2 linked regions of the Sus scrofa genome follow. The protein of the gene in region 2 binds, or shares a complex with, the protein of the main gene of each other region. Links are inferred from orthologs where the notes say so. Each region holds a gene or a part of one and is shown on either strand. Other genes may lie near its edges.

Evidence for each region.
Region 1: the proteins of PHF2 (region 2) and VRK1 are in contact, whole or in part, in a crystal structure (PDB 8F8Y), measured with the Homo sapiens proteins. The link is inferred for Sus scrofa from reciprocal best matches to the Homo sapiens genes PHF2 and VRK1. Residues at the interface, in NP_005383.3 of Homo sapiens: Tyr7, Tyr14, Val16, Thr17, Arg18, Phe19, Met20, Ile21, Glu22, Trp29, Glu39, Ala42, Ile45, Asp46, Tyr48, Lys64, Tyr145, Ser147, Glu150, Lys175, Val178, Asp179, Tyr182, Ser183, Thr184; in NP_003375.1 of Homo sapiens: Pro2, Arg3, Val4, Lys5, Ala6, Ala7, Gln8.

Annotation. Positions count from the first base shown.
Region 1 is NC_010449.5:117,941,644-117,945,552, reverse strand, and holds the start of VRK1 (serine/threonine-protein kinase VRK1), read right to left. Parts: upstream 2,590-3,909; 5' UTR 2,504-2,589; intron 1-2,503. UniProt on the Homo sapiens protein: Serine/threonine kinase involved in the regulation of key cellular processes including the cell cycle, nuclear condensation, transcription regulation, and DNA damage response.
Region 2 is NC_010445.4:43,054,331-43,058,139, reverse strand, and holds part of PHF2 (lysine-specific demethylase PHF2), read right to left. Parts: intron 3,405-3,809; coding exon 3,263-3,404; intron 2,184-3,262; coding exon 1,997-2,183; intron 947-1,996; coding exon 784-946; intron 1-783. UniProt on the Homo sapiens protein: Lysine demethylase that demethylates both histones and non-histone proteins. Enzymatically inactive by itself, and becomes active following phosphorylation by PKA: forms a complex with ARID5B and mediates demethylation of methylated ARID5B.

The sequences.
Region 1 (3,909 bases), on a different chromosome or scaffold from region 2:
ACTAAAAATTCCATGTTATCACTAAGAGTGTAGTTTTTCAAATGTGCCAGACACAGTTGACTACTTGTGTGCTGGGTGCTAAGTAGCCAAAGCCGACAAGAAATGACCTCTATCAGTGTAAAAGAAATCTTGCTTCAACAAAACACTACAATGGCAAGAACAGACTCTGCACCCAGCACGGTTCCCGACATAGACATCTGGTGATTATGTGAGTCCACTGCTGCTCCCTCTGAAAAATAACCCAGACAAGCTTGCAAAATATCCTACCAGTCTGAAATATATTCTCCAGTCCTATCCAGTTACCCTTCCATTCTCACAACCCATCAAGACCAATTTCCACGAAAGCCTCAGCACCGCACACAAAGAGGCAGCACTCAACTTCCCTTGGGTTCCTGTCCGCTACATGGAGATATCGGCATGTGCACTGTTCGCGTAAATCTAGGAACCATCCTTCCTCACTTGTTATATATAAGGTAAATGTTTAAGCTCTGCCCCATTTCCAGTAAGTTCTATTTATCAAATCAAAAATACTTTCAAAGTTCTACTTTTTAAATCAAAATTCTTCTTATAGCACATCATAACTTACTAGGGAAGGCTTTAAGGAAAAACATACATACAGCTGTCCAAGAAAAATCTTTTTTCTTTCCTAGACATCTGGGACTTTCACTTACCTATTTACTATTATTTCACATTAGTTCTCAATTTAAAAAAAAAAGCTGGCCTATTTAAGAAAGTTAATTTTAGGGTCTGTCAACATTTTGAATGCATGACTGTTATTTGTAAAATATACATTTGCATCCTGGAATAAGACTCGGCATAAGCTTTCCATATAACCATTTCCTGGGCACTTACGAACTTACTGTATGTCAGGTTCTGTGCTTGACACATTTCTCCGCTTTCTCATTTGTTGACCAAATATCCTCTCACAATTTCTGCAACACTGAACATTAAGAAGCCCTTACACTCTAAATCTCATCTGTTGTAGATAGCAGCACTAAATGGACAGTAATGCTGAACACAAGTTACTGCCATCAAATTCAAGTTGTTACTGCATTAACCCAGAATCTGATCAGCAACGCTGAGATGCACAGAGAACAGCACCCACGGCGGCTTCGGCAGAGAAAGCCAGTGTTAAGTGACAACTTGCTATATCAGAGGATGACCTGACCTTAACTACCTGTAAATGTAATTCCAATTACTATATGCCATTTTGGACAGCACAGACATAACCTGAATAAGATGATTATACAAAAAACCCTTGCCTCCCTCTGAAACTACTTTAAAATTGTACATTAAATCCTCCCCAAAAGCATCACACTTCCAAAGTCATGAAAAGCAAGATGCCTTTATTCTGAACGCTTAAAAATAATGCTGCCATACATTTTCTTTTAATCTTGTAAATTACAGCTTAACGGATGGGCAATTCTAGTTGAAAAAAAAAAAGAAAAGAAAAAAATAATAATGAATGAGGCCCTTCAACAGTTTCTTAAAACCACCACCTTCCCAAGAGCAAAACTGGTATCTCCAAACTGTTTCAAGGAGAGATGGGGGAGGGAAAGGACGAGTCAATACATAGCAAGAAGAGAAGAAAAAAAAAAAAACGGGGGGAGGGGTGACTTGACAGAAAAGTTAAAAAATGAGTGGACTTAACTGAAACCTAGGGTCTACCACATTTCCCTCTCAACCCGGAAACCCTGGTGCGTTTGTCGAATTTAAATAAAGCACCTAAGAGTTTTGAGACCAGAGCCAAAAATTATTCCGACGGTAGGAAAAACTATCTGTCGCCCGCGAATACAGCAGCATCAGCAAAAGGTGCCACCCTGCAGCTACGAAGACGGGACAAAAAACAGCTGTCAGGGGCACGCGAAAATCCCTTGTAAAATTCCGCCACCGGAGCTCGAACGCCTTGAACCTGCCGCAAGGGCCGCTCTCACCGGGCCTCAGCCGGACCTTGACAGCTAAGAAAGGCGCCCAGGCCTGGAACGCCAGCCCCGGGCGAGCAGGCTCCTGCCCCTATCTCAGGTCTCCAGGCCAACGTCGCCTCCCGAGATGCCCTCCTCACCCCACCCCCGCCCATCACTCCCGCCCACAGACGCCTGTCCCCGTTTTCAGAGAGCTCTCGCTTCTGCAAATGGTCAGTTTGGCTTCTATTCTGCTTCCCCTGCAGAACGTGAGTTCCAAGACCGCGGAGGGACGCCGCTGATCCAATCTGGCCTACAGAAGCCATCTCCCAGACCCGGCCTGAGCGCCCAGGATGCCGTGCAAGTCTGACCCGCCTACACGCCGTTCAGAACCGGCAACGGAGCCTTGGGGACCCGCCCGGCCGGTGCAGGGAGCCCGGGGCCGCAGCGGGGCCTGAGGGAAACCCGGCGAGAGAGGACGCCGGCGCCTCCCGAGGTCCCGGCTGCCCTGCCGCCCCGCGCCGGCCCGGCCGCCGACAGCCTCTCCGCGGCCCCCGCTCGGCGCCGGCACTCTTGCTCAGCTCCGCGCGCGGCTACCCTACCCGGAACCGCAGACCGGTCGCCTTCTGCCCAGTACGAACTTCCCGCCGCTTTCGCCGACTTGCAACTCAGTTGAGGCGCCGGCCCCGTCACACTCCGCAGTATGGAGCCTTCTCATTGGCTCGGGTGAGCGGGAGAGGCGGGGCGAGTGGGAACGCGCGAGCGGGGCGGAGCCTATGCCGGCCTTCTCCGCCTCCGCGGGCATGGCGGGAGCCGCGGACCGGCGCACCCAGTGCATGCTGGGAAGTGTAGTGTTTTACGGGCAAAGCAAGATCTCGGTCCCTCTTGCCCCGTGGGCACCTGGGAAATGTGGTATAGCGCCTCTAAGTCCATCTTTCTGGTTGAATGCTGTACCTGGCAATGCCTTAAGAACTGAAATAAATATTGCCAGTATTCTCAGTAGCTTTTTTAACCAATATGTTGGTTAAAAAAAAAAAAAAATTCAACCTTAAGGTTACCGTAGGTGTACGGTTGGGCAGAGGGAAGAATTGGGAGTGTAAGTATCACACACATTCTGACAGTTTATTGTATACCGCAGGAATCACCTATATGGGGAAAAAAGAAAAGGTATATTTACATGTATGACTGATTCACTTTGCTATACACCTAACACAACATTGTAAGGCAACTATACTCTAATAAAATATTTTTAAAAATAAATGTCACAGAGAAGCAAATAAATAAATGTGTTGACAAAGAGTTGGACGTAAAAGCAGCCCTATGTTCCGGTTTGGCCCAGTTCCTCCTCTGCCTACTGGCGTTTGCGTTTTTCCACCTGAGGATCCACACACTGCAGGCTCCTCCCACAGCAGCCTGGCTCTGTATACCATGTTCTGGCTCTGGAAGCAAACAGCTTGCAGATCAAATCCTTGCTCTTCCACTCTGTATCTTTATAACCTAGATTACTTAACCTCTATGAGTCTCAGTTTCCTGTTTCTGTCAGGACTAAAGGAGATAGTCTCGAGACAGTCCTTTTTATGTAGTAGATGCTCAATAAAGAGTAGACAGTATAAATATAATTCTGTCCGCTCCTAGCCATGACTCTAAATTCCACCTGTCTGTCGAACCTATTTCAGTGCCTACCTAACCTTCTGTAGTATTCCATCTGTAATTCCCTTATGCCACAGTTTGCTTTATAATCAATTGTCTCAGCCTCCATCACCCATGAGACTGTGAGCTTATCTTGGACCAGGATACTGTTCTAGGTCAAAATCACCAAAGCCATAGGCAGAGGGAGCTTTACAGAGAAACTAGAGAAGCTTAAGCAAGGTCTCTTCCAAAGCCTTCTGTTAGAGGGAGTTTTAGAGGGAGGGGGGTGTTGTTTGCCAAGGTAAGGTACTTTTGTACGATTTTCTTAAAGTGGACCCCCCCCCAAATTGCATGACTTCAGTCCTCACAAAACCTGGAA
Region 2 (3,809 bases):
CTCTGGCCCTGTCATGAATGGGTGGCCCTCCCAGAAGGAAAGACTGTGTCGGAGCTGGCCCGGTCTGTCCACTCCAGCCCGGCATGGTTCGGACAGGGAAGCTGAGGCCCAGGAGTCAAGGGGACCTACTCAGACCCACCCCAAGGTATGGCTGCCAGCAGGCCTGATCTCCACCTGCGGGGCCGGAGAGAGGCAGGCAGGGCTGCCACACCTCCTGGGAGAGTTCAGTTTGTCTCTACAGCATCCTCAGAGATGGAACCTGGACCAGACTTGGGGAAATAACTGTGACTGTAGGAAGGAGGGTGGGGCTAGAGCAGGAGGGACGCTGAGGCACATCAATCAATGGAGATGTGGGGGCCTCCTTACACAGCAGTGAGAAAATCTGATTGACTACCCACTGGGCGACACCCAAGGGACTCTTAACCCTTCACCCCTAAAGTGTGATGACGGTGTAATTACATTATTTTTAAAAGGAAACCTTACATAGGGACATATTTAGGGGTGAAGTAACATGACATCTATAAAGGGCCTTTATCTGCTCACATCATGGTTCCTCCTCTTGCTTATGCTTAAAACATGGAGATGAGCAAACACCAGCTCTACAGCATGGCAAGGCTCTCAGAGATGGGCTCTTGGGGCCCCATGCGATTCCATGCACCTGGCCTCCCTGAGCACAACTGGGCCCACAGAGCAGGCCCCAAGGAAAGGAAGCAGACAGCCAGGATGTGACCTCCCCTGGCAGTCATCAGCAGTGGGGGCGCAACACAGGGACAAGGCACTTACCTGAGGGGATGAAGAGTGTCTGGCCCTGCTTGAGGGTGCATTTGTAGCACTTGTCCACCTGGTCGGCAAAGAACATTTCGCTGTGGTTTGAGGCTGACTGCCAGCGCTCGTACAGGGAGATGTTGGCCGAAGCTGGCTTGATGAGATAGAAGATCTTCTCCCCCTGCCAACAAGAGGCCATTGGCAGAGCCTGTCATATGCTGGAGATGCTGGGGGTGGGCAGAGCCCACCATGTCCTGGGGATGCTGAGGTGGGGGACAGAGCCTACTGTGTCCTGGGGATGGGTCCTGGCTTCAACACCATCCTGCCCAGGCCCTGAAATTGGGGCCACGCGTGCTTTGCAATTCAGAAGTCTGCGTGTTAGGAAGATTCCAGGCATAGGAGCCTCTAGCATGTTCTGGGCAACCCCCGCCACTCCGCACACATCTCCACAGCACCATGGATGCCGTCCGTGCCAAGGGAAACAAAGTTGTGACCTGCTGTCTGATGAGTTACAGGGAAGTTCTGCTCTGGGGGAGGCTTGGGTCCCATCTGGAGACGAAAGGAGGGCCTGGCTGCCAGCCCCAGCCCAGCCCTGCACTTGGACTAGGGAGGTGGAAATGTCCTCACTTGGGGCAGACGGGCTGAGGGCAGGGGTGCTCGGGGGGGCAGAACTTGCTCAGGGCCTCAAAGAGCCAACATCAGAAGCTGCGCTGCCCACCCTATCCTGGGCTCCAGCAGGTCTGGGGAGACTTGGGGCCGGGTGGTGTGTCCAAGGCTTAGGGACTCCCTTTCTGTTGGTCTTCACAACTCCCTTTTCCCCCAGCATCCCCATCTGTCCCCAGCCAGCAGCCCCCCAGCTCTCTCTGCCACTCAGATGCCACTGCACTTTGCTCCCTGGGCCCCGGCCCACCCCCAGCCTCCCAATGGAGCATAACTCCTCATCCTCCCCTCTTCCAGGAAGTCCTCCCAGCACTACTCTCCTTTCCTTGGACAGGAGCACTTGGTCACCACTCCAGTGGGCTGCTCCCCCAACCCCCATGCCCCTCGAGGGCCCAACATCTGTGTCACTTCTATGGAGAAACATCTTGTCTCTCATTCCACCCGATGCTGGCCACTGGTAGGGCCTGCAAGGACTACCGTGGTCCTGCAGTCTGACAATGCCTGGGCGAAAGCAGGTGGTGCCCCTGAGGCCCGTGCAGGACCCATGTGGGGAGCAGAGGCCAGCACTCACCTTGAGCACATGGTACCAGGCAGAGGCACCCCCAGAGTCAATGTGGAAGTCAGTGTAGCTGTCCTTCACACAGATCAGGCAGTACTTGGTCACCTTGGGCTTGGCCAGCAATGCGTCATCAGGCCAGTAGTTTTCTACCCAGGACAGTTTCTTCACTATGTCAGGTGGCTCCACGAAGCTGGACATTCTGGGGGCAGGGACAGAAAGGGCAGTCAGCAGTGACAAGAAGTGTCGCCACATTCTGGGCAGGGCAGGAAAGGGGCTCTGGGTGCACGTCCCACAGCTATTTCTCCACCTCCAGCTACATGACACTGCTCCCATTCTACAGATGAGCAAACTGAGATTCAGAGAGGGCAGAAGGAGCCCAGCTGCTGGGCGTGGCCATGGCAGGCATCTAACACTGGGCTCTCCATCCAAAGACAGGCACAGAGAAGGCCTGAGAATCGTCTACCCCAGGGACAACTTCCATCCTGGAGAATTGCAGAGGCTTTTCAGGTGCGCTTATGTTAGTGCCACTGGGCACAATGGGCCCCAAGAGTAAACATCTTTGCTCATGCACAGCCCAGGAGCTTCCTGGCATCACCTACGGAAAAGCCACTGTCCCCCAGAGCACACAACAGGGTGCCTGCAACTCCTTGCTGTGGGACCACGTCAGACCCCATAACTTATCCCCAGGGAAGATATGAAAAGGCAAAGGCAGCCTTTGATTCGATTAAATGTCACCGTTCTGGACAGGATGCACAATACATCAAAACATCCAGCTCAGCAGCACCTGTGCAATGAGGTGACATTTCACTCAAGCCAAGACTGGGGTCTCAGTGTTCTTGCTGCCTCGGGCACAGTCCTCCAACCAAGACTGTGCCTACCCCAACAAGATGGTCACAAATCATAGGCCAGGCCACCCTGACCTCAACAGCCTCACAGGGCCTTCCTCTTTAAATTTCCAGCATAGGAGTTCCTGTTGTGGCTCAGCGGTGACGAACCCAACTAGTATCCATGAGGACACGGGTTCAATCCCTTGCCTCAGTGGGTTAAGGATCCAGCATTGCCATGAGCTGTGGTGTAGACTGCATACGCATCTCGGATCCTGCGTTGCTGTGGCTGTGGTGTAAGCTGGCAGCTACAGCTCTGATTGGACCCCTAGCTTGGGAACTTGCATATGCTGCAGATGTGGCCCTAAAAAGAACCCCCCCACACACAAAAAAAATCTCCAGCATATTTCAAAGCAATATCCCTCTCCATCCCTCATGCCCTGACCCCACTCACCTGGTGTCAGAGAACTCAAGGTTGGTAAGGTTAAGAACTCGCTTGCGGTTGGTGCTGTAGTAATAGTCCACGAACTCCTTCAGTTTCATCTTGCAGTCCTTCTGCTTGGTGACATCCGTCACGTCCACACTGCGCTCTGGACCTGGGGAGGCAGTGGGGGAGGGGGAGTGTACCCAAGGAAGATGGTTGGCCTCCCAGGAGGTTGGAGGCCCAGACATGCAGAGGAGATGTTGACTTGCCCTCAGAAAGTCACTGAGAGGAGGCTGAATGCTGAGGCTTTAGGCACCAACATCGGACCCTCCCCCACCTGAGGACCTCCTGGTGCAGTGGCAGGTAGGGGCACAGTCACAAGACTCAGCTAAGGTGACCAGATTAGCAAATAAAAAAACAAGACACCAGGTAAACTTAAACTTCAGATAAACAATGAACAAAGATGTTTTTAGCATAAATATGCCCCAAATAATGTGTGGGACATTCTTAACTTTAAAATTTTTTTATTTTTTATTATTATTTTTTTAAATCTTTTTAGGACCACACCATGCATATG